Pelodiscus sinensis: one gene and its partners. The protein of the gene in region 1 purifies or fractionates together with the protein of each later gene. This does not show direct contact. Links are inferred from orthologs where the notes say so. Each region holds a gene or a part of one and is shown in the gene's direction. Other genes may lie near its edges.

Evidence for each region.
Region 2: the proteins of FAF2 (region 1) and UBL4A purify together in Homo sapiens (affinity purification with mass spectrometry; 3 studies listed by BioGRID and IntAct, with this or other methods). This does not show direct contact. The link is inferred for Pelodiscus sinensis from reciprocal best matches to the Homo sapiens genes FAF2 and UBL4A.
Region 3: the proteins of FAF2 (region 1) and SETDB1 purify together in Homo sapiens (affinity purification with mass spectrometry; 3 studies listed by BioGRID and IntAct, counting the BioPlex papers as one, with this or other methods). This does not show direct contact. The link is inferred for Pelodiscus sinensis from reciprocal best matches to the Homo sapiens genes FAF2 and SETDB1.
Region 4: the proteins of FAF2 (region 1) and NPLOC4 purify together in Homo sapiens (affinity purification with mass spectrometry; 3 studies listed by BioGRID and IntAct, with this or other methods). This does not show direct contact. The link is inferred for Pelodiscus sinensis from reciprocal best matches to the Homo sapiens genes FAF2 and NPLOC4.

What each region holds. Positions count from the first base shown.
Region 1 is NC_134727.1:41,027,039-41,034,862, forward strand, and holds the start of FAF2 (FAS-associated factor 2), read left to right. Parts: upstream 1-4,809; 5' UTR 4,810-5,239; coding exon 5,240-5,302; intron 5,303-7,824. UniProt on the Homo sapiens protein: Plays an important role in endoplasmic reticulum-associated degradation (ERAD) that mediates ubiquitin-dependent degradation of misfolded endoplasmic reticulum proteins.
Region 2 is NW_027465910.1:144,045-150,978, reverse strand, and holds the start of UBL4A (ubiquitin-like protein 4A), read left to right. Parts: upstream 1-3,912; 5' UTR 3,913-4,021; coding exon 4,022-4,069; intron 4,070-6,934. Other genes in the region: SLC10A3 (P3 protein), read left to right, coding at 1,881-3,179. UniProt on the Homo sapiens protein: As part of a cytosolic protein quality control complex, the BAG6/BAT3 complex, maintains misfolded and hydrophobic patches-containing proteins in a soluble state and participates in their proper delivery to the endoplasmic reticulum or alternatively can promote their sorting to the proteasome where they undergo degradation.
Region 3 is NC_134734.1:21,839,468-21,847,220, forward strand, and holds the start of SETDB1 (histone-lysine N-methyltransferase SETDB1), read left to right. Parts: upstream 1-4,743; 5' UTR 4,744-4,758; coding exon 4,759-4,903; intron 4,904-5,331; exon of another isoform or gene 5,332-5,487; intron 5,488-6,057; exon of another isoform or gene 6,058-6,310; intron 6,311-6,414; coding exon 6,415-6,631; intron 6,632-7,077; coding exon 7,078-7,250; intron 7,251-7,753. Other genes in the region: CTXND2 (cortexin domain containing 2), read left to right, coding at 4,168-4,341. UniProt on the Homo sapiens protein: Histone methyltransferase that specifically trimethylates 'Lys-9' of histone H3. H3 'Lys-9' trimethylation represents a specific tag for epigenetic transcriptional repression by recruiting HP1 (CBX1, CBX3 and/or CBX5) proteins to methylated histones.
Region 4 is NC_134730.1:27,376,573-27,383,602, forward strand, and holds the start of NPLOC4 (nuclear protein localization protein 4 homolog), read left to right. Parts: upstream 1-4,008; 5' UTR 4,009-4,153; coding exon 4,154-4,168; intron 4,169-7,030. UniProt on the Homo sapiens protein: The ternary complex containing UFD1, VCP and NPLOC4 binds ubiquitinated proteins and is necessary for the export of misfolded proteins from the ER to the cytoplasm, where they are degraded by the proteasome.

The sequences.
Region 1 (7,824 bases):
GCTTTTGATGTACTTAAAAAACATTTTGCTATTACTTCTTGAGTTCCTGGCTAGCTGCTCTTCAAACCCCTTTCTGGCTTTTCTTATTATATTTTTACACTTAACTTGGCAAAGTTTATGCTCCTTTCTATTTCCCGCACTAGGATCTGATTTCCACCTTTTAAAAGATGCCTTTTTATTGGTCGCTACTTCTTTTACCTGGCTGTTAAGCCACAGTAGCACTCTTGCAGAGATTTTACTTTTGTCACTGGACCTTTTAATTTCTGTTTAACTATCTTCCTCATTTGTGTGTCGTTCCCCTTTCTGAAATACAATGGCACCATGTTGGGCTGCTGAGGGGTTTTTCCCACCACTGGGATGTTCACTTTTATTACCTTATGGTCACTATTGCCAAGCGGTGCAGTTCTATTTACCTCTTGAACCAGATCCTCTGTTCTCCTCAGGACTAAATCAAGACTAGCCTCGCCCCTTGTGGGTTCCAGACCCAGCTGCTCCAAGACGCAGTCAGTTACGGTATCAAGACACGCTATCTCTGCATCCCACCCTGAGGTGAGGTGTACCCAGCCACTACGGGGATAGTTGAAATCCCGCACTACTATTGTCGAGTTTTTTAAATTGATAGCCTCTCTCATCTCCCTTAGCATTTCATAGTCACTAGCACGGTCCTGAGCAGGGGGTCAGTAATATATCCCTACTGCTCTAGTCTTAGTATTGGAGCATGGAATTACTGGCCAGAGAGAGTCTATGGAACATTTTGGCTCATTTAAGATTTTTACTTCCTTTGATTCCACATTTTCCTTCACGTATAGTGCCCCTCCCCCACCAGCAGGACCTGTTCCGTCCTTCCGATATATTTTGGACCCTGGTATGCCGGGGCCCCTTCACTGGCCTCATTCCACCAAGTTTCCAGGTTGCTTTTTATATCAATATCCTCCTTTAAATCTAGGCACTCTCGTTCACCCATTTTACCGTTTAGACTTCTAGCATTTGTGTATAAGCACTTTAAAAATGGGTCCTTATTTATCTATCTCCATTTCCTGATGTGTTCGACTTTTTCATTTGATTGTGTCTCATCTGATCCGACTCAGACGTCCATCCTCTCCTCCCGCTGAGAACACAGAGCATCTCTATTAATAGAACTTCCCCTAAGGGATGTCTCTGTCCAGTCCATGTCTCCTCCGCACCCATCGGCTTTCCCCCAGCCCTTAGTTTAAAGGCACAGAGAGTGATGAACCCGAGGGTGCCTTGTCAGACCCAGCCTCATCCTGCAGGAGCAGAGTCCGGTTCCCTAGGCTGGCCCATGTGTAGGTACCAAGGACGTGCTTGGGAGTACGCTGTGGTGGTCCCTGGTGCTTATGCCTGGTGGTCAGGCGCGCTGAGAGCAATGGCATAAAGCAGCGTGTGGCGCTGGGACTCGGGAAGGAACGCCTGGCTGCATTCGCCGTCTCCCACGTTCATTATTTCGGATGCCACTAATAATCCCAGCAGCGCTGAAGGCGATTTGGGGCGGAGGGGAGCCAGATTCCAGCCAGTGGAACAGGCTTGGAGGGGTGATGGCGCACCCGAGAGAGGCCTCTGCCTCCATCTAGTGGGCTCTGGGCTCTCTTGGGTGACAGTCAGCCCGGAGAGACCCCGTGTCCTGGATTCATGCCGCCAGTGCAGCTGGGCATGGGTCAGACCACCCCTGGGGCTCCCAGCCTCCTTCCTGGGAACCCAGCCAGGCCACAGCCACAGCCCAGCTGAGCTCAGGACCCTAGGGGAGGCTACTGGGGAGGGGCAGCAGGACATGGGCACGGTGAGGACGCAGACTCCCATCTTGCCAGCTGCTCCAGCCCCAGCAGGGCCTTCCATCCCCTTGCTGCTTCCTGTCCCTGCACAGCCCCAGCCGCCCTTCTCCTCCCCCCACACGCTCGCTCACACCCCAAGTAGGCGGCTACACCCAGGCTCCTGGCTGCTGGATCCTGTCAGGCAGCATTTGCAGCTGCCACTCCCGGTGCCTCCCTGGGCCCGGCGTCAGGCTCTGCTGAGGACTCGGCTGCCGGATCCCTCGGCCAGGCTAGAGAGCCAGGCCTGCTGAGCTGGTGTCATGTGTGACGGGCAGCCCCAGCCAGCGTGTGGGGCCCGGTAGTTCCCCAGGGACTGAGCTGCCTCCCCATTGCAGAGGGCCGGTGGCAGGGCAGAGCTGGGGGACATCAGTCCAGGCCCACGGGGCAGGAGTGGAGGCCAGGGGATGGCTGCCTCCCGCTCTTTAGTAAGCTGTCCGGAGAGCGAGCAGCACCAGCCCCTCCCAGGGACTCAGGCCGGGGCAGCCTGGCACGCTGACCGCCGAGCTCCAGGGCAACAGAGCGCTGGGCCGAGGCCAGAGCGTCAAGTGCTGTACAGCCGGGGCCGGGGAACCCTGAGAGCCCTGCTCCCCGGCAGGCAAGCGACCCCCATGCGTGGCAGAGAGGGAACTGGAATGCCCACGCGCCCGGGGAGACCACGGCCCTGCGGCCCAAGGGACAGAGCAGCCGCTACCCGGCTCCCTCCAGGCGGCTGGGCTCTCTGAGCCTTCCCGGGGCCCCCTCCTCGCAGCTGGGCCAGCCAGCCAAGACCGGGGTGTGCTCCGGGGGGGGGGGGGGGGTCTGCCTGTCAAGCCAAAGGCAGCCACCGTCACATCACCTACAGTCAGCAGAGGGGCAGAGAGCAAGTGTGCCCCGGGGGGCCATTGCCCACCCCCAGCAGGGACCCCAGGCCAGGACCAGCCGCCAGGGTGCCCATTCCCCACCCCAGCCTGGGCCCCAGCCCTGGGGGTCATTCCCCTCCCCCAGTAGAGGTTCCAGCTGGATACAGCGAGGGGGGGCCCAAACCCGGCTCAGCCCCGACGGGACCATTCCCCACGGGGGGGGGGGCCCAGCCCCGACGGGACCATTCCCCACGGGGGGGGGGCCCAGCCCCGACGGGACCATTCCCCACCGGAGGGGGGGGGGGTCAGACCCGGCTCAGCCCCGACGGGACCATTCCCCACCGGAGGGGGGGGGGTCAGACCCGGCTCAGCCCGGACGGGACCATTCCCCACCGGAGGGGGGGGGTCAGACCCCGCTCAGCCCCGACGGGACCATTCCCCACCGGGGGGGGGGGGGGGGGTCAGACCCCGCTCAGCCCCGACGGGACCATTCCCCACGGGGGGGGGGCAAGACCCGGCTCAGCCCCGACGGGACCATTCCCCACGGGGGGGGGGGCAGACCCGGCTCAGCCCCGAGGGGGGCATAGCCCGCCGGGGGCCCCAGGCCGCTCGCTCTCCGCTCTCACCCCAGGCCGCTCGCTCTCCGCTCTCACCCCCCGTCTCGGGGCTCTGCTCCGGGCCCCCGGCGGCCGCCCCGAAGCCCGGGTCGCTCTCGATGCCGGCGATCTCGCTCTCCTGCTGGGCCAGGAAGGCGGCGGCCGGGTCCTCCTCCGGGGCGCTCTCCGGCGGCGAGAAGCGGCCGCAGCTCTCGGCCATGCTGGCGCCGCGCACGGAGCCGAGCCGAGCCGGAGCGGGGCCCGGGCGCAGCTGTCACTGCGGCGGCGGGAGGAGCCTGGCGGGCCGGGGCGGGCCGGGAGGAGGGAGCGGGACGCCAGCGAAGGGCCGCGGAGCCTGTGCAGGGCGCGAGGCCCGGCGCTCTCCGCCCCCCGAGGGAGGGCTCGCCCCAAGCGGGACCGCAGCCCGGCCGCTCCGGCACGGGACACCTGCCCCCCCCCCGGCCTTTGGTGCGAGATGGGGGCAGATGGGGGTGTGCGGGGCGCGCTCTCGCCAATCAGCTGTCCCTGGCGAGGCTGCGGTCCCCGCGTCCTGCAGGTCCGGGCGCGCCCCGGGGACTGAAGGCCGGCTACTCTTCCCAGCTCTCCCCCGAGGAAGGGCTCGGGAACGCGGGGTGCCCCCAGGAAGAAATTCCCGAGTGCGTCTTTCTGGGCGCCCAAGGGGGTTTTGCACTGGGGGGGCAGTCCGGTGTACCAGGGAGTGCGGCACTGGGGAGCCGTTTTAAACAAGCCCCCCCCCCCCTTGTGCACGGGCAGAGCCGGAGTGGGGAGCAGCGGAGGGGGGGTGAATTCCGGAGTGGGGGAGCAGCCTGGGCCGGGGGGGGGGATGAATTCCGGAGTGGGGGAGCAGCCTGGGCCGGGGGGGTGAATTCCGGAGTGGGGGAGCAGCCTGGGCCGGGGGGGGATGAATTCCGGAGTGGGGGAGCAGCCTGGGCCGGGGGGGGGGGTGAATTCCGGAGTGGGGGAGCAGCCTGGGCCGGGGGGGGGTGAATTCCGGAGTGGGGGAGCAGCCTGGGCCGGGGGGGGGGATGAATTCCGGAGTGGGGGAGCAGCCTGGGCCGGGGGGGGATGAATTCCGGAGTGGGGGAGCAGCCTGGGCCGGGGGGGTGAATTCCGGAGTGGGGGAGCAGCCTGGGCCGGGGGGGGGTGAATTCCGGAGTGGGGGAGCAGCCTGGGCCGGGGGGGGGTGAATTCCGGAGTGGGGGAGCAGCCTGGGCCGGGGGGGGGGTGAATTCCGGAGTGGGGGAGCAGCCTGGGCCGGGGGGGGGTGAATTCCGGAGTGGGGGAGCAGCCTGGGCCGGGGGGGGGTGAATTCCGGAGTGGGGGAGCAGCCTGGGCCGGGGGGGTGAATTCCGGAGTGGGGGAGCAGCCTGGGCCGGGGGGGGGGTGAATTCCGGAGTGGGGGAGCAGCCTGGGCCGGGGGGGGGGTGAATTCCGGAGTGGGGGAGCAGCCTGGGCCGGGGGGGGGTGAATTCCGGAGTGGGGGAGCAGCCTGGGCCGGGGGGGGGTTAATTCCCACGGGCACGAAGGAATCCGCTGAGGGGTAGGAAGTGTAGAAACAAGCGGGTCCGTGGCGAGACGGGCAAGCCCCGAACACTGCGCAGGGACGCCCAGCCGCCTGGGGCAGGCTCGAACCAGGCTCCCGTGGAGCCAGGCGAAGGCCTGGGCGGGGGCAGCTTTCCCCCACGTGGGCCCGGCAGGGAGCCGGCAGCCGGTCTCGAACCCCCGGCTCCCAGGGCTCTCCGCAGAGCTGCGTCCCACGCTCGGGAGCCTCCGCCGGGAGGTCACGTGGAACCAGTGCCAGGTTCGGGCATCTCCGGATGCGCTCGGCCCTTTCCGGCCGGCCGTTGGCGTCGGCTCCTGCCCGCCGTAGGGGCGCGACGTAGGGGCGGAAGTGCGGGGCGGCGTGCGACGTCAGTTCCGGAGAGTGACGGAGCGGCGGGTCAGAGGCAGCGGCAAAATGGCGGCGCCTGAGGAGCGCGAGCTGACGGCGGAGCAGACCGAGAAGCTGCTGCAGTTCCAGGTGCGGGGGGGCGGCGGGTCGCTGGAGCGGGCCCCCCCCGGCGGGCCCGCTTTGCGGGGGGGCTGCGGGGCCGGCTCCGGCCTCTGCGCGGGCCTGGGCTCGCGGCTTCCTCGCGGGCGGGGCCGAGTCAGTCGCTTCGCTGGCGCGTGGCGGGGCCTGGCGGGAGGGGCCCCGCGGGGAGGCGGCCCGCCCGGGGACAGGGGCCGCGCGCCCCGGGCCGTGTCCGGAGCCTCCGCCTCGGTCAGGGCGGGCCCCTGGAGCGCGCTCCTCGCGGGGGGGGGCACCGGGCCGGTTCCACACACCGGGGGGGGGGTCCCGTTCCATGCGGATGAATTGGCCGATCGGCGCCTCGTGCACTTGGCACAGGGCCAGGCCGCACTTCGTGCCCCGAAGCGCTGGGACTCCAGCCACCCCCCGCTGGCCCCGTGCTCCCGGCAGTGCTGCATGGAGCCCCCGGGCTGTGCACAGCATTCCAGGGTTCCACCGGGCGCTGCCACTTTGCAGCACCCTCACCTCTTCTCCCCTTCCCCCCACCTCTTTCTGATCGAGGCAGCAAGGGGGGGAAGCAACTAGCGTATCCACTATCCAATGAGCATTTGCTTATGGGATAATTGACTAGTCAGTCACACCCCTTACCCAATTCATCTTCCAAGTACGATTACATAGATTTTGTCAGTCTGAGTCTACAGACAACTCCAGCACTACTTGTGCTGCTTCTGAATTTTATTCTTCAGTAAAATGGCTATCGAGAAACCAATTAATTTAATTGCAGCTATTCAGAAACCTGTTGCCAGCAACAAAGCTAACTCTAGTAAAGAGTTTGGCATAAACTGTAATTTCTATTAATTATATTTTCAGTTGGAGGCTGTTTTGTAAAGCCATAAACAGTCTAAGCACTGGGACTGTTATCCTGGATCATGTTGATGGTCTACTCTCCTGCTTTCCAAACTTTCATGTTCACCTTTAGCCAGTATTCTTCAGTTGATGCTTCAAACTCTACAGCTGCTTCACATTTCAGTAGCACCTTGCTACTGAAGAGCTTGATGGTTTATGACTCTTAAGCAGGGGTGGGGAATAAGTGGCCCATGGACCAGACACAGTTCCCTACGGTTAGCCCTTGGTGGGTCACTGGTGCTTTATTAACCTGTGCCTCCACAGGTATGGCTGCTTTCAGCTCCTGTTGGCCGTGAATGGGCCATTCCTACCCAATGGGAGGCATGGGAAGCAGCGTGGACTGGGATGCCACTTCCCACAGCTCCCATTGGCCAGGAATGGTGATCTGCATCCAACAAGAGCTTCAAGCCGTCATGCCTGCAGACGTGTAGGTAAATAAATGGCTGATAATCTGCCTCTGGCTTATTGCCCATCCCTGCTCTTAATTATCTCAGTTTACAAAAGGCAGATTAGTTAGTCCCATTTTATAAAGGCATAGTGACTTGCCCAATGCCACACAAGAAGTATGTGATTATGTCTGGTCCATGATTGGAGCTCCTGTGTACTACTGCAATACAAATAATAATAGTGAGAGTCAGAATAGGAAATAACTCCCGATCTTCAGGTTCACAATACTGTATTTTAACTACAAAGCTATCTCTGTCAGTTTGATGGTATTGGAAAAAGATATTAGGGATATAAAAGATTAAACCGTTCTCTAGTAAGCATTAGCCTTATTGGCGTGCTTACCAGTTAACTGGAGGATCCAGCCATTGAGAGAAGCAGGACCCTTGCTGCAGCAGGCTAGCAGGGTCAGAACAGCTCCCTCACCTGTGACCAGTAGTTAGCCGATTAAACAATTTGTTTAACCGGTTGGATGTTTTTCATTCCTGTTAGATACATAGGTAGGCATGGTTCAGTCACTTATCTGTAAATGCTATGCTCAAATGTTAAAGATATACATAAGTAACTATGGAGAGATTGTATGTTCAGGAGCTTCAGGGGGTAGCCAAGTTACTCTGTTACAGAAAAAAACAACAAATGGTCTGGTAGCACTTTAGAGACTAACAAAACATGTAGATAGTGTCATGAGCTTTTGTGGGCACAGTCCACTTCTTCTAACTCCAGTCATCTGAAGAAGTGGGCGGTGCCCACGAAAGCTCATGATACCATCGACATGTTTTGTTAGTCTCTAAAGTGCTACCAGACCATTTGTTGTGTTTTTATGGAGAGATTGGTATTCTGTTAAGCATTCTGAGTCCGCACCATTAACTTCACTAAAACTAGGCTGCTTGCCTGAAATTATACATTCCAGTATTCGTTTACAGTAGCATTGGCCAAGATGATTTGGCGATGCTGTGATTAAGAAAATGGGAAATCTCACTTTGGAAAAGTGTTTTCAAAATGGCTTATCTTACAAACAAAATCCATTTTATTCTAGTAGTCTTGTTGGAAAATGGTGACTAAGTAGAAGTGTCATTTTTTTAAGGCCAGATGGGGCCCTTTTGATGATGTAATCTGACCTAAATAACACAGGGCATTGAACGTCAGTTACCCAGAAGCTTTGTTTGTGAACGTTGACTATAATT
Region 2 (6,934 bases), on another chromosome or scaffold:
ACATGTGTAACTCCTTGCCAAAAGATGTCGTGGAGGCCAAAACTAAGGCAGGGTTCAATAAAGAGCTAGACGAGTTCATGGAGGCAGGTCCATCAATGGCTGTTAGCCAGGGGAGTAGGAAGGGTCTCCCTAGCCTCTTTCAGAAGCCGGGGATGGGTCACTAGATGATTCTCTGTTCAGTTCATTTATTCTGGGACAGTGGTTCCAACTGTGCTCCTGGAGTCGCTAGCTAGAAGGCTGGTTTTCTAGCCCTTGGTCATTTGCAGGGCTCTTCTCTGAGCCTTCTGCCTTTGGACACCATCACTCTGTCCCCCGGCTGTGCTCGCTCACCTAAGCAAGAGCCTTGTAGAGTCTGGGGCTTGGTCCTCGTGGGGGCAGCCTGGGTGGGGCCAGTGTGTTGAGACGAGTCCAAAACTCCGGGATGCTCCGCCATTGATTCACCAGGCCTCTCCACTCTCAGGCTTTGATCCTCCTGCTCGTACTGCCTCCGGGGCCCTTGGTGGCTCCCCTGCTGGGGACCCTCCTGGACACAGGGCGATGCCTGGCGGGCCAAAGACCCCTCGCGCTGCACCCCCCCCCCCATGGGGCTGAGCCAGGAGACCAGCCTCCCCCCGGCCAGTGTAGTGGGAGAAAAGGCACATGGTGGGGGGGGGGGGGCTGAGCCCTGCCAATCACAGGGCGGGGGCCCCTGAGCCTGGCCAATCACAGGGCGGGGGCCCCTGAGCCCTGCCAATCTCAGGGCAGGGGGCCCCTGAGCCTGGCCAATACAGGGCGGGGGGGCCTCTGAGCCCTGCCAATCACAGGGCGGGGGCCCCTGAGCCTGGCCAATCACATGGCGGGGGCCCCTGAGCCCCGCCAGTCACAGGGCGGGGGCCCCTGAGCCTAGCCAATCACAGGGCGGGGGCCCCTGAGCCCTGCCAATCACAGGGCGGGGGCCCCTGAGCTCCGCCAATCACATGGCGGGGGCCCCTCAGCCCTGCCAATCACAGGGCGGGGGGCCCCTGAGCCTGGCCAATCACATGGCGGGGGCCCCTGAGCCCCGCCAATCACAGGGCGGGGGTCCCCTGAGCCTGGCCAATCACAGGGCGGGGGCCCCTGAGCCCCGCCAATCACAGGGCGGGGCTCGCTGCTATGGGGGCGTTAAGGAAGCGCCAGGAGCCGCTAATGAGCAGCCACGTGCCCCATCTTAACCAATCAGCGCCCCGGATTCTCTGAGCCCCGCCCTATCTGCCCTCCGTCCCCTAACTGCCCCACGCGCGCGCACACCGCAGGATTCCAGCCAGCCAGCGGACAGCGAGCCCCGCCCTCTCAGGTGCGCGCTCTTCCGGTCCCAGGCACCGCCCTCTAGGGGGCGCGCTTCGGCACTTCCGTGGTGGGCTAGACCTTAGTGAGGTCATGCCCGTGGGGCGGGACCACCCCTGTGACGTGAACGTGGGGCGGGGCCGAAGGAAGCCGGACGCAGCCGAGTCAAGACTGGTCCGCGGGTCGGTGTCAGGTGTGGGCCGGGGCGGGGGGGCTCTCTGGCTGCAGGGGGAGGGAGCATCCCCCGCCCCGTAAACTCCCCCCTCACCTCACAGCCCCGCCCCGCCTCACAACCCCTCCCTGCGTCCCATAACTCCACACCCCTGCCCCCTCCCCACCCCATAGCTCTGCACATTGCCCCCTGCCCCACAGCGTGGGTCCACACTCCCCCTCCCCCCAGTTCTCTGGTGGGGGGTGGCATCCAACCCTGCCACCTCCAGCCTGGGCTCCTCTTCTCACCTCTGCCCCTCCACTCCCACAGGCACCAGAGCATCCAGACCTGCACCTGCTGGCCGGGAACGTCCCGATGTGCCGGACCTGGAGGAGGCCAGATGCCCATGAGCCGTGAGTGCTCCGGCATGGCTCAAGCCCTGGCACTGCTGCTGCTGGGGCTGGGCCGCTGGACCTGGGCCAGCTGGGGGCAGCCAGCTGGCAGGTACCTGAGTGTGGGTGATGGCAGTGCCCTGGAGTTTGACTTCCCTGAGAGGAGCCGGGGTGTCATGGTCGTGTCCAGCCGGTACTTGGGCACCAATGGGACAGCAAGTGGTGCCCGGCTCAGTGCGGCCTCATTGGCACCTGCGGTGCTGACTGTGGAGAACGTGAGTGCTTTGTGCTGTGGAGCAGGCGGTTTCCTGGTGGCCATCCGCTCAGGCCCAGCTGGGCTGGCACCACTTCGGCTGCGCCTGCTGGACCAGCATCAGCTGGTGGAGGAGCGGGGCGAGTTCCGGGTGCGGGTGATGGCGAGTGAGGAGCCAGGGCACCCAGGCCTGGGCCACTTCTCAGAGAACCCGTTGCTTTATGCTCTGCTGCCCCTCATCTTTGTCAACAAGTGTGCCTTCGGCTGCAAGGTGGAGCTGGAGGCGCTGCGGGAGCTGGCGCGCCAGCCACAGCCCGTGCTCCTGGGCATTGTGGGCCAGTTTATTGCTATGCCACTCTATGGCTACCTCCTCTCGCTGGCCTTTGCCCTCCCCCCGGCGCTGGCACTGGGGCTGGTTGTCACCTGCTCCTCACCAGGTGGGGGTGGTGGCTACCTCTACAGCCTGCTGCTGGGTGGCAACGTGACCCTGGCGATTGCCATGACACTGCTGTCCACTGTGGCAGCCGCTGGGCTCATGCCGCTCTCCTCGGCCCTTTATGGGCGCCTGCTGAGTGCCCACCCCAGCCTGCACGTGCCCTTCGCCAAGATCGTGGGCACACTGCTCTTCATTGCGGTGCCCATATCGGCTGGGCTGCTGGTGAAGTGGAAGCTGCCCCGCGTGGCCCGCCTGCTGCTGCTGCTCATCAAACCCTTCAGTTTTGCCCTCATCCTGGGTGGACTCCTCCTGGCCTACCACATGGGAGCCGTCATCCTGGCTGAGGTGGAGCCCCCAGTGGTGCTGGCCGGGCTCACCGTGCCCCTCGTTGGCCTGGGGCTGGGTTACCTCTTGGCTGCCTGCCTGCGGTTGCCAGGCCCACACTGCCGCACAGTCAGCATTGAGGTGGGAGTGCAGAACAGCTTGCTGGCACTGGCTGTGCTGCAGTTATCTTTCCGCCGTCGCCAGGCTGACTATGCCTCCCAGGCCCCCTTCGTGGTGGCCCTGAGCAGCACGGCTGAGATGCTGGTGCTAGTGCTGGCCCATCTCCTCTACAAGAAGCTGCAGCCATCTGCCAGTCCCTGAGTGCCCCATCTGTGAGAAGGAATGGGTCCTGCTGGGGGCTGGGCAGCCCTAAGCACTGAGTGCCCCTCTACTGCAGGGCTGGGCTGCCCTAGGAGCTGAGCACCCTGCTGTTGGGGGGCAGAGACAGGCAGATTCAGGGACCTGCTGTACAAGGGGCTCACCCCAGGGGCCCCTCCCAGTGGGGGCAGTAGGAAACCAAAGTCTCATGTTGGGCCCCTGAACACCCAGCCTCATTTTATACTGTGTTTTCTGTGTGGCTGGCAATGGTCCTCAGGGAGGGGGCCACACAGGCTGTTAAGGGAGGGGAAGGGGCCAATAAAGGAGAAAGAGCAAGTTTGTGCATGGAGCTGTTATTGGTGGAGGCTCAACGCTGGTGCCATTCACAGCCAGCTTGGGGGCGGAGTCGGGGGCTGGGGGCGGGGCCAGTGGGAGGTCCCGGCTCTGGGGGCGCCTCTCTCTACTTGGCCGCTCTCCCCTCCCCCCGCAGAATAGACTCTATGGTGCTGGGGCCAGGCCAGAATAGTCGCGAGTGCGGCGGGGAGGGAATGTCCGCTCTATCCGCGCTGCGTTTGGATCTCTATGGTACAACAGGGACACTCTAGCCCTGCGCCCGCCGCGGCTCCAGTCTAGGCTACAGGAGCCAATGTTCGGGCCCGAGACTCTATGGTACGAGCCGCGGCGCACTATGGCCCCGGCCACTCTAGGCTCCAAGGCACTGACACTCTATGACACGTGACGCTCTACGCGCCTCTTCCGGCTCTATGGTTCCGTGGCGGTCGCTCTAAGCCCGCTTCCCTCCGGGCGTCTATGGTGCCGTTAAAGGGGCCGCTCCGGGCTGCGCGATGCTGCTCACGGTGAAGGCGCTTCAGGGCCGGGGATGCAGCCTCCAGGTGGGGGGGGCTGTCGGGGGGCGGGTTTGCGGGGGGGTGTCGGGGGGCGGGAGAGGAGGGTTTGCGGGGGGGGGGGTGTCAGGGATCGGGAGAGGAGAGTTTTGGGGAGGTGTGGGGGAGGCAGGAGAGGAGGGTTTGCGGGGGAGTGTCGGGGGCCGGAGGGGGAGGGTTTTAGGGGGGTGTCGGGGAGGCAGGAGAGGAGTGTTTGCGGGGGAGTGTCGGGGAGGCAGGAGAGGAGTGTTTGCGGGGGAGTGTCGGGGGCCGGAGGGGGAGGGTTTTAGGGGGGTGTCGGGGAGGCAGGAGAGGAGTGTTTGCGGGGGAGTGTCGGGGGCGGGAGGGGGAGGGTTTTAGGGGGGTGTCGGGGAGGCAGGAGAGGAGGGTTTGCAGGGGGGTGTCGGGGAGGCAGGAGAGGAGTGTTTGCGGGGGATTGTCGGGGGCCGGAGGGGGAGGGTTTTAGGGGGGTGTCGGGGAGGCAGGAGAGGAGTGTTTGCGGGGGAGTGTCGGGGGCCGGAGGGGGAGGGTTTTAGGGGGATGTCGGGGAGGCAGGAGAGGAGTGTTTGCGGGGGAGTATCGGGGGCCGGAGGGGGAGGGTTTTGGGGAGGTGTCGGGGAGGCAGGAGAGGAGGGTTTGCAGGGGGGTGTCGGGGAGGCAGGAGAGGAGGGTTTGCGGGGGAGTGTCGGGGGCCGGAGGGGGAGGGTTTTGGGGAGGTGTCGGGGGCAGGAGAGGAGGGTTTGCGGGGGAGTGTCGGGGGCCGGAGGGGGAGGGTTTTGGGGAGGTGTCGGGGGCAGGAGAGGAGGGTTTGCGGGGGAGTGTCGGGGGCCGGAGGGGGAGGGTTTTGGGGAGGTGTCGGGGAGGCAAGAGAGGAGGGTTTGCGGGGGAGTGTCGGGGAGGCAGGAGAGGAGGGTTTGCGGGGGAGTGTCGGGGGCCGGAGGGGGAGGGTTTTGGGGAGGTGTCGGGGGCTGGAGAGGAGGGTTTTGGGGAGGTGTCGGGGAGGCAGGAGAGGAGGGTTTGCAATGGAGTGTCTGGGAGGCAGGAGAGGAGTGTTTGCGGGGGAGTGTCGGGGAGGCAGGAGAGGAGTGTTTGCGGGGGAGTGTCGGGGGCCGGAGGGGGAGGGTTTGCAGGGGGTTGTCGGGGAGGCAGGAGAGGAGGGTTTGCGGGGGAGTGTCAGGGGCCGGAGGGGGAGGGTTTTAGGGGGGTGTCGGGGAGGCAGGAGAGGAGTGTTTGCGGGGGAGTGTCGGGGGCCGGAGGGGGAGGGTTTTAGGGGGGTGTCGGGGAGGCAGGAGAGGAGTGTTTGCGGGGGAGTGTCGGGGGCCGGAGGGGGAGGGTTTTAGGGGGGTGTCGGGGAGGCAGGAGAGGAGGGTTTGCAGGGGGGTGTCGGGGAGGCAGGAGAGGAGTGTTTGCGGGGGATTGTCGGGGGCCGGAGGGGGAGGGTTTTAGGGGGGTGTCGGGGAGGCAGGAGAGGAGTGTTTGCGGGGGAGTGTCGGGGGCCGGAGGGGGAGGGTTTTAGGGGGATGTCGGGGAGGCAGGAGAGGAGTGTTTGCGGGGGAGTATCGGGGGCCGGAGGGGGAGGGTTTTGGGGAGGTGTCGGGGAGGCAGGAGAGGAGGGTTTGCAGGGGGGTGTCGGGGAGGCAGGAGAGGAGGGTTTGCGGGGGAGTGTCGGGGGCCGGAGGGGGAGGGTTTTGGGGAGGTGTCGGGGGCAGGAGAGGAGGGTTTGCGGGGGAGTGTCGGGGGCCGGAGGGGGAGGGTTTTGGGGAGGTGTCGGGGGCAGGAGAGGAGGGTTTGCGGGGGAGTGTCGGGGGCCGGAGGGGGAGGGTTTTGGGGAGGTGTCGGGGAGGCAAGAGAGGAGTGTTTGCGGGGGAGTGTCGGGGAGGCAGGAGAGGAGTGTTTGCGGGGGATTGTCGGGGGCCGGAGGGGGAGGGTTTTGGGGAGGTGTCGGGGAGGCAGGAGAGGAGTGTTTGCGGGGGAGTGTCGGGGGCCGGAGGGGGAGGGTTTTGGGGAGGTGTCGGGGAGGCAGGAGAGGAGGGTTTGCGGGGGGGTGTCGGGGAGGCAGGAGAGGAGTGTTTGCGGGGGAGTGTCGGGGGCGGGAGGGGGAGGGTTTTGGGGAGGTGTCGGGGAGCCAGGAGAGGAGGGTTTGCAGGGGGGTGTCGGGGAGGCAGGAGAGGAGTGTTTGCGGGGGAGTGTCGGGGGCCGGAGGGGGAGGGTTTTAGGGGGGTGTCGGGGAGGCAGGAGAGGAGTGTTTGCGGGGGAGTGTCGGGGGCCGTAGGGGGAGGGTTTTAGGGGGGTGTCGGGGAGGCAGGAGAGGAGTGTTTGTGGGGGAGTGTCGGGGGCCGGAGGGGGAGGGTTTTAGGGGGGTGTCGGGGAGGCAGGAGAGGAGTGTTTGCGGGGGAGTGTCGGGGGCCGGAGGGGGAGGGTTTTGGGGAGGTGTCGGGGAGGCAGGAGAGGAGGGTTTGCGGGGGAGTGTCGGGGGCCGGAGGGGGAGGGTTTTGGGGAGGCGTCGGGGGCAGGAGAGGAGGGTTTGCGGGGGAGTGTCGGGGGCCGGAGGGGGAGGGTTTTGGAGAGGTGTCGGGGAGGCAAGAGAGGAGGGTTTGCGGGGGAGTGTCGGGGAGGCAGGAGAGGAGGGTTTGCGGGGGAGTGTCGGGGGCCGGAGGGGGAGGGTTTTGGGGAGGTGTCGGGGGCTGGAGAGGAGGGTTTTGGGGAGGTGTCGGGGGCCGGAGGGGGAGGGTTTTGGGGAGGTGTCGGGGGCAGGAGAGGAGGGTTTGCGGGGGAGTGTCGGGGGCCGGAGGGGGAGGGTTTTGGGGAGGTGTCGGGGAGGCAAGAGAGGAGGGTTTGCGGGGGAGTGTCGGGGGCCGGAGGGGGAGGGTTTTG
Region 3 (7,753 bases), on another chromosome or scaffold:
GTAAGTTAGAGCAGCTGTAGGACTGGGCATGCCCAACATGTGTGGAGTGCAATTCTGGGATGTATTAGCAGGAGTGTTGTAAGAAAGACACAGGAAGTCATTCTTCCGCTCTACTCTGCACTGATTAGGCCTCAATTGGAGCATTGTGTCCGATTCTGGCACCACATTTCAGGAAAGACGTGCATGGAGAAAGTCCAGAGACGAGCAACAAAAATGATTAAAAATCTAGAAAACTTGACCTATGGGGGAAGTCTGAAGGAATTGGGCTTGTTTAATCTGGAAAAGAGAAGACTGAGAGGGGACATAACAGCTGCTTTCAAGTACGTAAAAGGTTGTTACAAGGAGGAAAGAGAAAAATTGTCCTCTTTAACCTCCGAGGACAGGACAATGAGCCATGGGCTTAAATTGCAGCATGAGCAGTTTAGGATGGACATTAGGAAATGTCAGGGTGGTTAAACACTGGAACAATGTGCCTAGGGAGGTTGTGGAATCTCCATTATTGGAGATTTTAAAGAGCAAGTCAGACAAACACCTGTCAGGGATGGTCTAGAAGAGAGTACTTAGTCCCGCCCACTATGCTGGCAACAAGTTCCTCTAGCCAATCCCTTAAGCCACTCATGTGCCTCCAATCTCTCCAGACTCACTGACTTTATGGTGCTCACAAGAAAATGGCTAATTATGGGCAGGCCAAGGGGCAGTCATGATAAGGTAGCAGGAGAGGACGGGTGGACCAGTCGTTAAGATGCTGCTGGCCTGGGAGAGCTGGGTTCTGTAACACAGGTGACCTCTGTGACACTTCACCAGCTGCATCAGACTTCACTGGAACAGTCACTTACACCAGTGGTCCCCAACGCAGTGCCCGTGGGCGCCATGGCGCCCGCCGGGACATTTCTGTGCGCCCACCGAGTGATCGGGACTGGTCCCATCCCCAGGCATGCAGTGCAAGGGCTTTGCTGGCCCCTGGGCACGCGGCGTATGAGCGGCACCGACCCGGGCGCCCGGTGAAGGCGCAACGCCGGCCCCGGCCCCGGGCCCACAGCACGTGGGCGGCGCATGGGCTGTGCCGGCCCCAAGCACGCGACGTATGGGCGTACCCACCCCTGGGCGCTTGGCTCCCCACCCCTGAGCAGCGCTGGCCCTGAGCACGCGGCATATGGGTGGCCCCGCCCCTAGGCGTGAGGTACAGGAGCGGTGGCAGCCCTGGGAGTGTGGCGCATGGGTGGCGCTGGCACTGGGTGCGCAGCGTACGGGTGGCCCCGCCCCCGGGTGTGTATGCGGCCCCGCCCCCGGGCCCATGTGTGGCCCCTCCCCTGGGTGCCCGGTGCGTGAGTGGCCCTGCCTCCGGGCACCCGGCAGTCCCAAAAGGTTGGGGACTACTGACTTACAGGATTTCCTTCTCTGCCACCTGCTGGTTCATCAGGGAACTGTAACAGGAAATTAAGTTTGGTGGGCCTCAGTCTATCCCCAGTGTGACGGGTGTCCACCCTGCACAGCCAGCACCCCAGCTGTCAATATCTCCTCCTTTCAGACAGATGAACATTAACAAGGATCTAAGAGTCCAGGGCCTCATGAAACTTCAGTTCAAGACCGTGCCCTTGCTACAGAATCTCTGTGCGACCATGGGCCACTCCCTTAATCTCTCCGTGCCTCAATTGTCCAGCTGCAAAACATGGTTTATAGCCTTACCTCCCACTAATGTCATGAGGATAAATATATTATAGACTGTGAGATGCTCAGCTACTGCAGTAAAGGGAGACCTATTATTATCTGCAGGGCAGTAGTGTGTGTGGTGGGGAGAAGGAAAGTCACGGATCAGGACCCCTTTGTGCTAGGTGCTGTACAAACACAGAACAGTCTCAAAAAGCTTGCCACCTTGTTCACTTTTTAGCAGGTTTGGCAAAGATGACAGGGACTGAGAGGCTCTGGCATCTGAGTGACCCCTTCGGTTGTAGTCCTCCTAGAACAGGTTTGAGGGTGGGAGGAATTAGGGATGCATTTCCTGCTGCTGACCCTCCTAGATATGTTCTCTGGATAAACAGAGGACTCCAAAATTTCTGAGACAGTCAAACTTTCACCACTTCTAGTCTATACAGGTTCTCACAGCTTGCTCATCGCTGTAGCATCTCAGCGCCTTTCAGGAGTGCACTAAGCAACGTTATTACACATCTGAAAGTGAAAATACACCAGTAGTGAAATCACATGGAAAACTACTCACCGCACCAGACATAGCCCTGGGCACATGCTTTGAGTATGAACAATCCAAAAGCCAGCAGCCAAGTATTTTCAGTGTCTCCTGGAACTAAACTACAACAGGATACAAACAAGTGACTGTAAATAAACGGAAATCTGTCATCTTGATGATGTGTCAGGTCACTTATCCAAAGTATTCCTGTGGCCCGCATCACATCGCAGCAAGCACTTCATCCTCTTTAATGCCGGTATTTTCACAGCACTCCTTGGAAAAGCTATTATTCTCATGTGGAATGGAGACACAGACACAGGCATGCTGAGGCTGCTAAAGAGCTTGTCTACCAGATCAGACCTCCCACAAAACACAGCTGCCCTTCTTACACTCCTTAGCTCAGTGGTTACATGGCCAATGCCTGCCTGAATCAGAGAAGGGACATGATCGCAGGTCTCTCCCCTCTGAGATGAGTGCCCTACCCAGTGGGTTAATGGTACTTTCTCAATCCCCACTCTTGAAGCTGGTCCACTCTGTAAATATGGAGAAATAAACATGACTTGAGCCAGAGAAAGTGACTATGTCTCAGTGTTTAGGGAAATGGGGGAGTCAGGCCTCTCTCAGCGGTACTCAGTACATAACCAATATGTTGTGACATGTCTCTCACATGGAACATACTGGGGTTGATGGGCCAAAGGAAGCGCTTGATAAGTTTATGGAGGAAATTATCTGAGAAGTTACATACAATGACATATGGCCCATCCACAACAGCTGTTCACAACTATCTCCCATGGCAGAAGAGGGGACGCTAGAGGGGGAGGCTTCTAAGTTACTAGAGAAATTTTCCCTCCAGTCAGATTGGCAGAGATGCTAGAGGGCTTTTTTCCTTCCCTCTGTGCTGTGGGGCACAGGACACTTCCCAGAACAAATGGCGGCTTTTCTCTAACTTGAATTTTCTAAATCAAGTTTTGAGGACTTCAGTAACTCAGCTGGTGATCATGGGCCTACTACAGGACTGAATAGGTGAGATTCTGTGGCCTGTGCATAGGGTCAGAATAGATAATCATGTGGGTCCCTTTTGGCTTTAAAGTCTTTGAACCTATGAGCAGCAAACTCTAGCATTTTCTGTCCTCTGCAGGTAATGCAAACTTCCTAATTTCATAGGTGAGCTCTTTGGGCCAGTGACTAGGTTGTTTACAACACCAAGCACCATAGAGACTTAATTGGAACCCACAGGTGCAATTGTAATCACCTCCCTGCAGATTTGAAACCGGGCTCTCTAGAGTTTAGTGTAGGAGCCGCTACAGCTTAAGCTATAAAGCCAGCTGGCTCTAATCTTAGGCTGTAGAGCTCACTCATTCTTTTCTCTCACTATAAGTGGTCTAAATGCCACTACATGGGACAGTGAACCACACACACGAGGGCCGTGTCTACACTGGCAAGTTATTCCAGAAAATCAGCCGCTTTTCTGGAAAAACTTGCCAGCTGTCTACACTGGCTGCTTGAATTTCCGGAAAAGCACTGACGATCTAATGTAAAATCATCAGTGCTTTTCCGGAAAAACTATGCTGCTCCCATTTGGGCAAAAGTCTTTTTCTGGAAAACTGTTCTGGAAAACGGCCAGTGTAGACAGCACTGTAGTGTTTTCCGCAAAAAAGCCCCAATCGCGAAAATGACGATCGGGGCTTTTTTGCAGAAACGCGCGTCTAGATTGGCCACGGACACTTTTCTGGAAAAAGTGCTTTTCCAGAAAAGCGTCCTGCCAATCTAGACACACTTTTCTGAAAATGCTTTTAACGGAAAACTTTTCCGTTAAAAGCATTTCCGGAAAATCATGCCAGTGTAGATGTAGCCTAGGTGTATGGATTACACAATCACAATATAAATTATGCACAAAAATAATGATTTCCATCTCAAACTCTGCTGTGCAGGTGATGGACGTGCCAGAGCTCAGAGGACAGAGCAGGGTGTGAAGGCGGAGCCCTATGGAGAGTCCGACAGTGCAGCCGTACGTCGATGTGGACAAGGGGTTTGCCATTGGGTTTGTCATCCTGATGTGCGTTTTCTTGATGGCCATGATCGTGAGGTGCGCCAAGCTGATTGTGGACCCATACAGCGCCATCCCCACCTCCACTTGGGAGGAAGAGCAGATCAATTGACTGACAATAAATAGGAGGAAAACTGGCTAATCAGTTCCTTGTGGGTGACTCTTTTGCCTCTTGTGGTCCCTGTAATCCCCCACCCCTGCACAGATAATGAAGATTCTGTAGCTTAAATTGTGCATTTGTCAGATTCTAACACTATTGATAATACCTGGTATCTTCCATCTAAGGATCTCAAAGCACTTGACAATTAATTCAGCTTCATAAGACTTTGGGGTGGTAAGTGAATATACTAAACTCCTTGTGTCAAAGTGTCCATGGCCAAACCAGGAACAGAAGTTAGGAGTCTTGACTCTCCTTATCTCCTTGACTCTCCTTGACTCCCCTTAGATTCTCCTAATCCTAATGCCTTATTGAGGAAGACAGGAGTAGCCATCTGGGCTGGCTGGCTCCGACAGCAAGCTGGAGTAGGAGATGGTTGCTTACGCCAAGCGGCCATCTCTACCGGAGCAAGAAAGTGAGCGCAGACCTGCCCACTCTGGTTTTCCTGCACATAGTCACGTGTGTACGATTGGAATGAGGGGCAGGATGTTTCTCTCCTGTGACATCTCAGCACAGGGTGAGTTCCTCAGCAAGATTTGAACGCTGAGCGCCAAGCCTCAGCCCACCAGTGCAGCGCCTGTCCCTCAGGCAGGGCTGCAAGAAAGCAGCAGTAGTAGGCTGTTATCCCCCACCCACGCGAGCCCAGCACTAGCCTCGTGGCCCATGTCAGGCAGCTACAGCCTCAGCTCAGAGGCTAGTGCCCAGGAAGCCCCTGTGAAGTGCGCAGAGTTGTGGCAGGGGGAGCCCGCACTCCTGGCGTCCATTCCCGGCTCTGCCACTGACTCGCTCTGTGACCTCGGGCAAGGCACCTCCCCGCTGTCCCTTTAAGATCTGCCGCAGCGCCCTTAACGATGTGTTCTCCCGGCGCATGCGCACGGACCCACACAGCCTGACGGACCCCTGGCCCTTTAAGAGTATATCCCAGAGGCACGCTGGGCGCATGCGCAATATCCAGCGGTGGGCTCGTGCCCCGCTCTCAAGCAGAGCTCACTTGTGCCTCGCGGGCTACCGTCACCGGAAGTGCTGAGAGGTTCCATCCGGTCTGCCCGCAGCCAACGGCTGCTCCTCAGAAACAGCCCCACCCCCCGGGCCCGGGGAGAGGTGAGGAATGTGGGCTCGGGGAACATGGGAGCGGGGGGGGGCAATGGGGGGCACAGATAGAGGGGGGCTCTGGGGGAGGGGGAAGGGGCAGTTGGGGTACAGAAAGAGGGGGGCTCTGGGGGAGGGGCAATGGGGGGTTCTGGGGGAGGGGCAATTGGGGTCCAGATTGAGGGGGGCTCTGAGGGAGGGGCAATGGGGAAGGGGCAGTTGGGGTACAGATAGAGGGGCAATGAGGAAGGGGTAGTTGGGGTACAGATAGAGGGGGGCTCTGAGGGAGGAGCAATGGGGGGCTCTGGGGGAAGGGCAATTGGGGTCCAGATTGAGGGGGCCCTCTGAGGGAGGGGCAATGAGGAAGGGGCAGTTGGGGTACAGATAGAAGGGGGCTCTGAGGGAGGGGCAATGGGGGGTTCTGAGGGAGGGGCAATGGGGGGCACAGATAGAAGGGGGCCTCTAGGGGCTACACGCGGCACAGGGTCCGACCTAGCTGGCATTTAAAAATGGCGCCGGCCGGCTTTATGCAAATGAAGCCCGGGAAATTCAAATCCCGGGCTTCATTTGCAACTCCGTATGACTACATTACCACCCCCTAGTTCGAACTAGGGGGGTAGTGTAGACATACCCATAGAGAGAGCAGGGAACCAACTTTTAAGCTAGCTTTCCACATGTATTGGCTCCCACCTGCTGCTCCCAAGGATCTGGACCGGGAGCCGCATGTAACCATTTGTGTAACTGATAAGCTCATGCTTACCTGTTACCCATGTAAACAGTTACACTCTTACATCCAAAATGTCCATATGCTTATGAGGTCTTATACTGCAGTCAGGTTGGTTAGAGTGGTACAATACTTATGCTGACATACACTGTGTGTGACCAGAGCCTTGGAAGCTTGCATGTTGTCACATATTTCTTTTATTGCTTTGGTTTTAGCAAAAATGGATTCTCAGGAAGTAACAGAGTTGCAGCAAGAAGTGATAGAGGAGTTGGGGATCTCTATGGAGGAGCTCCAGCAATTCATTGATGAGGAGCTGGAGAAGTTTGAGAGTGTGAAACAGAGGAAACAGCAGCTGGAAGAGCTGGAAAAGAGTGTGGAACAGAAAGAAGCAGAAGTGGCATATGTTGACCAGCTCTTTGATGATGCTTCAAGGTAGGTATACTTGCAGTGGCAACTTTGTGTTGAAGAGAGAGCTAGTGGAGGTAGCAAAGAGAATTCTAGAAGAGGGAACTGGGCATTAGGATTCTCAGGTTCTATTTCCATCTCTACCACTGACTTGCTGGACGATGTGTAGGCAAGTTTCATGCACTCAGATTCTTAGAAGTACTCATTAAGCGCGTGCACTTTGGTAGCTGTTTCGTGTAGTGGCTTTGAGTCCTTCGGGTTAGTTTGTCCAACCCCTAATTCTGGTTTGCTTACTTGGGCAAACTCGCAGTTCTGCTTAGTGGTGATAATGGCCACAATTGCTGAGTAACCCCTTAAAGTAGCAGGTATCAGCTGTGCAAAACCTTCTCCTCTTCCTGGGAGGAGTGGGGTATAATTATATTCATCTTGGATCTTTCTCTCTGCCCCTTTTTTCCCCCCTCAATATGTTGCAGAGCCATTGGTAAATGTGAGATACTGGTAAAAGATCTCTACTCCAAGCTGGGCCTTCAGTATCGTGAGAGCAGCTCTGAAGATGAAGAATCAGCCTCCAAGCCCATGGAAGTGATCGAAATCCCAGATGAGGATGACGACGATGTTATGAGTATTGATTCGGGTTGGAAGCGCAGTTCAGTGTTCCACGTGACATTGGGAAGTGGGTTGGAGGAGGGGGTGGGGAGATAAAAGCATATCCCTGCAAAGAATATAACTTTTTAACAGGGTTCAAAAAAGGAGCTAGATACATTCATGGAGGATTGGTCCATCAATGGCTATTAGCCAGGGTGGGCAGGGATGGTGTCCCTAGCCTCTGTTTGTCAGAAGCTGCGAATGGGTGACTACTGTCTGGTTCATTCCTTCTGGGGCACCTGTCAGGACAGGACACTGGGCTAGATGGACCATTGGTCTGACCCAGTCTGGCCGTTGTTATGTTTTAATATGAAGGGGGATGGGGAGTTGGTCAAAGAGCATCCTCAAGAATATGCATTAGGACTATTGTTTGTAAGGCTGTGCAGGACCGGATGGAGACTCCCATGGAGCCTGTGGGAAGTGTAATAAGAGTGGTGCTTGTGAAGTCAGTGCATTTGTTCCCTAATTGAAAGCAGTTAAATTGGGAAGCTCTCATATGACATT
Region 4 (7,030 bases), on another chromosome or scaffold:
CCCCAGCCCTAAAAAGGTTCCCTGCCTCCGTTCTCCATAGTCCCCTGTGCATCACTGAACCTATGTGGTGCCTAGGAGTGGCAAGTCTGCCTAGGCTCACGGTCCGCCCCGGTGGTGCCCCTATTATACGCAATTCCTGCTCTCCTCCAGCAGGCCCTTTTGCGCGAGCGCTCCCAGGGGAATGGAGAGGCGCTGCATGAGCATCCCAGCCCACGGCAGGCCCACCTCAACAAGCACCACCCCCATCCTCAAATGTATGGTCCAGTCCCAAGTCTCCAGAGCGTACAGGGGCTGAAAGACGCCAGAGGTCATGCAGAGCGCTGAGGCAGTAGACACACATCACTATGGCCCGGTCTTTTCACCAGCCGGTTTTGTGATTTTACCCTGCGGGAAGGACCCTAGGGGACTGGCAGCCTCCTGCTTCATTCCTCTTCCCTATTGACAGGGGCAACTGGGCGTCTCTTGCAATGGAGCCAGAGGCTGCAATTCGTGGCAGATGGTCGCTTCTTCAGAGAGAAGGCAGGGAGTGCTAGCCCTCTGGCCAAAGGATACCGCTCAGGGCCTGGAGTAAGTGTACCACACCCTCGTTGTTCCAGGCCCTAAATATTTCAGGGTATGTCTACACTACCCTCCTAATTCGAACTAGGAGGGTAATGTAGGCATACCGCACTTGCAAATGAAGCCCGGGATTTGAATTTCCCGGGCTTCATTTGCATAAGCGGGGAGCCGCCATTTTTAAATCCCCGCTGGTTCGAACCCCGTGCCGCGCGGCTACACGCGTCACGGAGTAGCTAGTTCAGATTAGGCTTCTAATCGGAACTAGCTGTACTCCTCGTGGAATGAGGAGTACAGCTAGTTCGGAATAGGAAGCCTAATCCGAACTAGCTACTCTGTGCCGCGTGTAGCCGCGTGGCACGGGGTTCGAACTAGCCGGCATTTAAAAATGGCGGCTCCCCGCTTATGCAAATGAAGCCCGGGAAATTCAAATCCCGGGCTTCATTTGCAAGTGCGGTATGCCTACATTACCCCGCTAGTTCGAACTAGGAGGGTAGTGTAGACATACCCTCTGTGACCATCTCCCACCCATATCCGTCAACAGCAGTGTTTCTCAACCAGGGGTACACATACGCTTAGGGGTACTCGAGAGAAATCTGGGGGGTACGTCACCACAACTGAAATTTGGAGAAAACTGAATTTTGTTTGTTTCACAGTGCTTTATTATTGTTGTACTTTTTACACCCAAAAATGTCATCACTCCCCTGGCTATGATGAAGTTGTTTAAACAAATGTGTTGCAATGGTAGAAAAAAATTGTGTGTCTGAAAACTGTAGGTACTGGGGGTATGTATAATTTTTTTTAAAGGGGTACTTTATAAAAAAAGGTTGAGGAACACTGGTCTACAGCCGTGGCTCCCAACCTTTTTGAGGATACAGACCCCTCTTCAATCTATTAAAATGTTACGGACCTCCCCAAACCATATAGCCCTGCTGACAGCCTGTACGTCCCTCGGCCCACGCTGCTTCCCGAGCGGCGTCCCTCCGCCTGCAGGGGAAGCAACACGGGTTAGACTCTGCACAGACCCCCCTACAGGGATCCGCGCAGTGCAGGTTGGAATTAGAAACCACTGATCTGCAGCCGTGATGGCAACTGAGGTGAGTGACAGGCCTCCATCTCAGAGCGCCCCAGACTGTCGTAACCAAGATGGTCTGCTGGAATAGGGTATTTTTGCTAACTGCCCTAGCTTACCTACAGTTCGCAGGATGTGCCAATTGAATTGTAGCAGCACTTTGATTTGGCTGTGGAGGGGGCGCCCGGCTCTCAGTCAATGCTGTGTGCAGTCAGCACGCACCTCCCTTCACGGGCCCTGGCTTTCCATGCCTGTCACTTAGTAACACTGGTAGGAAAAATACAACCTGGATGGAAACCAGCAGAATCTAGCAACCCTGTGTGTGGGGAACAGTCAACACAATGTTGCTGGTCTGCAGTAACCAAAAGGCCGGAGCGCTCTTGGCTGCTGTACCCTAACCCACCTCACCCCAGCATTCCTCTTTGTCAAAGAACACGCCTGTATGAAACGTACGTGATCTACCCAAGGCCAAAGCCAATGGCTACTGGCAGGCTGCAGTAGTGGAGGAAGGCGGCGGGTATACTCCCATGGGCAGGAGGGGAGCTCGGATTTGTGGCCTGATTTATTTCATTCATTATTTGCCTACGAGCTGGCTTTTTGGCTGCTGGGTGGGGATCATTTGTGCCTGCAGGACTTCTTCATTGCCAGGGCTGGGGCTCCAAGAGGCATTTCATAACGGGGTCTGTATTTTACACTAGGGTAACAATCAATATTGCAGCCACCGGTGGCTCCCAAAGGCCCAAGAACCATCTCCTTTGCAGCATGAACAGGGCCTGCGCCGCCTCTGTTAAGTGTCAGTGATGGGCTGAGAGACACCCCCACCGCACCCCGAGTCTGCAGAGCAGGCTGGCTGCTCCTGCCATGGGCCTGGCTCTACCCTCAGTCACTGGATCCTCAGAACTGCGCTGGGGCTCAGAACCCTTCACACAAGGAGCGTGGCGGGGAGGGACTGCCAGAGGAAGGGGAAACAGTGTACAGTGGGGGAAAATAGGGGGAGGGTGGGACCAATGAGGGATGATTTAGAAGGTGGAAAATTTGTGTGGGGAGAGATTCAGTGGGGTCCACTAGGGGGAGGAATTATGGGCTGGGACCAGAGGGGGGTACTGTGGGATACGTGGGGAGGGGGTATGAGTGGGACCAAATGGGGTTTTGTGGGGTACCTGGGGAGGATTAAGAGGTGGGACTAGGGAGGATTTTGTGGGGTACCTGGGAAGGGGGTTGGGTGGGACCGGGGGGAGGTTCTGTGAGGTACATGGGGAGGGGTTATGGGATGGGACAATTGGGGTACATCTAGATTACATGCCTCTGCCGACAGACGCATGCAAAATAGGCTACCCGACATAGTCAACGAAGCGGGGACTTAAATATCCCCGGCATCATAAAAATAAAAATGGCCGCCGCGCTGTGCCGGCTCGGCTGATCGTCGGCACAGCGCGCGAGTCAAGACGTGGATCGATCAACAAGGGAAGCCTTTGTCGACCGCTCCCTTATGCCTCATGAAACGAGTCAACAAAGGCTTCCCCTGTCGACCGATCCGCGTCTTGACTCGCGCACTGTGCCGACGATCAGCCGAGCCGGCACAGCGCGGCGGCCATTTTTATTTTAATGATGCCGGGCATGTCATCTAGATGTACCCTTGGGGGTCCCGTGGAGTATGTGGGGCAGGGTTATGGGGTGGGACTGGGTTAAGGTTCTCTGGGGTACATGGGGAGGGGTTATGGGGTGAGACAATTGGGGGTTTTGCGGGGCCCGGGCGGAGGGGTTATAAGGGGGACCCGGGGGGGGGGTAGCGGGCCCGGGGGGAGGGGTTATAAGGGGGACCCGGGGGGGGGGTAGCGGGGCCCGGGGGAGGGGTTATAAGGGGGACCCGGGGGGGGGTAGCGGGGCCCGGGGGGAGGGGTTATGAGGGGGAACCCGGGGGAGGTTATGAGGAGAGACCCGGGGGGGGGTAGCGGGGCCCGGGGGGAGGGGTTATGAGGGGGAACCCGGGGGGGGGGTTATGAGGAGAGACGGGGGGGGGTAGCGGGGCCCGGGGGGAGGGGCTATGAGGGGGCGGGGGGTGGCGGGCCCGGGGGGGAGGAGTTATGAGGGGGGAATCCGGGGGGGTAGCGGGGCCCGGGGGGGGTTATGAAGGGGGACCCAGGGGGGGTAGCGGGCCCGGGGGGAGGGGTTATGAAGGGGGACCGGGGGGGGTAGCGGGCCCGGGGGGAGGGGTTATGAAGGGGGACCGGGGGGGGGGTAGCGGGCCCGGGGGGAGGGGTTATGAAGGGGGACCCGGGGGGGGTAGCGGGCCCGGGGGGAGGGGTTATGAAGGGGGACCCGGGGGGGGTAGCGGGCCCGGGGGAGGGGTCATGGGGGGGTTGTCGGCCCGGGGGGGGTTATAGGCGGGGGGGACCGTTCGTGCCCGGAACGTTGCGGCGGGGCGGCGGCCGCGGGCGGAAGGCGGGTCGCGGGCGCAGGCGGGAGGCGGCCGCTCGGAACCGGCCCCGGAGCAGGCGCGGGAGGCCGGGCGGGGCCGGCAGCGCCATGGCGGAGACGATCGTGAGTCGGGGCCGGGGGGGGGCAGCGGCGGTTTGCGGGGGGGGCCCGAGCCGCCCCGTCCCGGGCCCCCGCCTGCCCCCCCCACCGCCCCGTGGCGGGGGTGAATTCCTGCTGCTGCTCTGTCTCTAGCAGCGGACGGCCCCCCCCCCCCCCGCGTCCGTTGCCCCCCAAGGGAGGGGGCGCCTCAGCTGCTGCTCCCGGCCGCGGCGGTCACGTGAGACCCTTCAGCCTCCCCCCGACTCAGAACCCCCCCCCCCCCCCGAAGCGAGGCCGAGGGTTCTCACCGGCCCCCAGCCCGGCTCCAGGCCCCCCCCCTCCAGCCCGGCTCCAGCCTCCCCCCATCTCCCTCCAGCCTTTAGCTTGTGCTGGCGGTGCGGGAATGGGGATGCTCTGCGCGTTCTAGTCGCGGCGGGGATGGGCTGGGGGGGAGGCACCGAGTCCCCTGGGACAGTCAAGTGCGAGGCTTTGCACGTGCCTGCAGTGCCGGATTGGTCTAGTAACTACCCGCCGGACTATGACTTCCCTCTTCGCCCCCATTTACACTTCACTGCCATAGTCTGTGTCCACACGGCGCAGGGAAACTCCTGATCCCAGTGCAGATGGTGCCTAAACCCTTGTTTACTCTTAACTTTTTTTTTTCTTAAAATTCTCCCACCAGTTCTGCAGCACGTGTTCTAGAAGGGGTGAGAGTACTGATGTTGGCCCAGCTGCCAGTATGTTTACCACCATGCTCTCTAGAGCTGGTCTAGATGGCATTGGGATGAAAATACTTGTGTCCAGGAATGGCAGTGGGAGAATTTCCCAAAGTCCTCCAAGTCAAAGGCCCCTTTGGCTAGAGGCAGAGCCATGCTAAAACTCTGAAAGCCACCTTCTGGCTTTAGCCAGCATCTAGGTTAGAAAGCTTTTCTTCTAATGCAGTTTGGCTTTGTCTCCACAAGAAGTTATTAGCCATGCTAGAAACTGGTTTAACTGGAAGGGTCTATAAACACAGTTCCTTTACTCTTCGTAAAGGTCTATCTCAATAGGCCTGTAGCTTGCCTGTTGTTAGGAGCAATCTCTTTTGTTTCAGGGATTGCTAAATCAGTTGATCTCTTGTTGTATGCCTCGGTGTCCCCATCCGGCTCCCTTATTTTGAACCTCTAGCCCGCACTTCTTGATCCTTTAGTCATTATTTGTCCCAAGAAATCAATTGAACATGGGTCCAGTGTCCCTCCCATAAGGTTGGGGAGGGGCTTTTAGAAGGTGGGCGGGCTTCGCCCGCCCACCATCCCATGATTTCAAATAGGCCCAGTAGGTCATTGGCCTCTGGTGTGTTCTTCCATGTCAGTCATCGTTTTGCCAATGGAGAGAGAACTGGGTGTAGAAATTGACAAAACAAAAAAAGTTGTTTAAACTGTTTGAAACAATCTGGAAACTTGTGACAAAACAGATTTGTGTTTAGTTTTTCTTTCTAAAGCTGTCAGGCAAAACCTCCTTTCTGACGCTTGCTGTTGAAAACAAGTGTCTCCATTGACTTCCAAAATCACAAACATCTACCTTACTCTCCTGTAAGGTACATCACCCAGGAGTTAGGCCCTATCAGAGCAACTATGGTGAGACAGCAACTGGCAGCTCTCTTCCTTTCAGCATCTGGACATTACTGATAGTACCTTCCTCTTAGCATTTTCTTGCCTCACCCGAGTAGCAGCAAACATCTTTTTTAACTGAGTTCTGGCAAAGTATTCCTTTTCTCCCCTTCATGCTTCATGCTAGTTACTGTGACATTGGTGTTGGTCTTGTTTGAAATGCTGTCCAGAGCTGAGGACACCAAAATAAGGAACACAGCTGATTTGTCATCTATTTCTATGGAAAAGGTTTGCATTAAGACCTGTTGGTTTATCTCCCTGCCGCTATGCTAGTGCCAGGCAGTTAAATGTTCAATTGTCTGCTCTGATTTCTGACTAATTCCAGTGCCACCTAGGAATTATGTGGAGACATCATCTTCTTAGTCATGGGCAGAAAAACTTCATCATCCTTGGTCCCATTAGCCCATCCAATATTCTCAATAAGCCCCAAAAGTGGGAGAAGCTTGAACATTTAAAAATATGTAGAGTCTTATTTTGGCATTCCTAGGCTGAGTAAATGTAAGCAGGGGCCTTTCCAATCAGGAAATGGAATGAGGGTTGGGGTTCCGTGTGTGTGAAACATCAAAGCAAGGCGGGGTCACCCTCAATCCTTATGGTGCACCCTGAAATGTACTGTGATTTAATCTGGCCCTCTGTGTTGTGCTCACTTCTCTGCAGGAAGATACAGTGCAGCAATTTAAACAAAATCATCGTCTTTTACAGGCATTCCTTGTTTCTCGCATGCTCCATGTATTCACCCAGAACTTTGGCGTTGTAATACAAAATAACTTGGAAGGAGAGCATGCTGGAGCACTCTGGTGGCCTTGTGCTGCGCCCTGCTGTCCTTCCCAGGGGCACATCGGTGTGTGTAATAGTATTTGCCGCCGCGTGACCCTTCACTGCATGTCCTGCTGCTTGGTACTTTGGTTTGAAGTGCAGGCTGAGCGTTAGTCACTTTCACACTCCGGAGAAGCGTAAGACATCCTGATGGTTGTGTCCTGATCCATAGCCAAGCCTGTCTTTATGGGAACAATTGCCTCTGGCCCCTTTTCCCAAAAGCAGGTGGCTTTGCACATCTTTCCAGTGGAAATCCTATTAACATCTCCCAGTAATGCCTTGTGCCTTCATGACTTAATTCTCTTAGTCTCTTTATTGGAGATAGATGCCAACTGTCAGTAATGTTGAAATAACATTGAAGATGACCCTTAATGCTGCAAGTTAGTTCAGTCCTTCCGTAAAAGAACTTGAGAGGGAAATG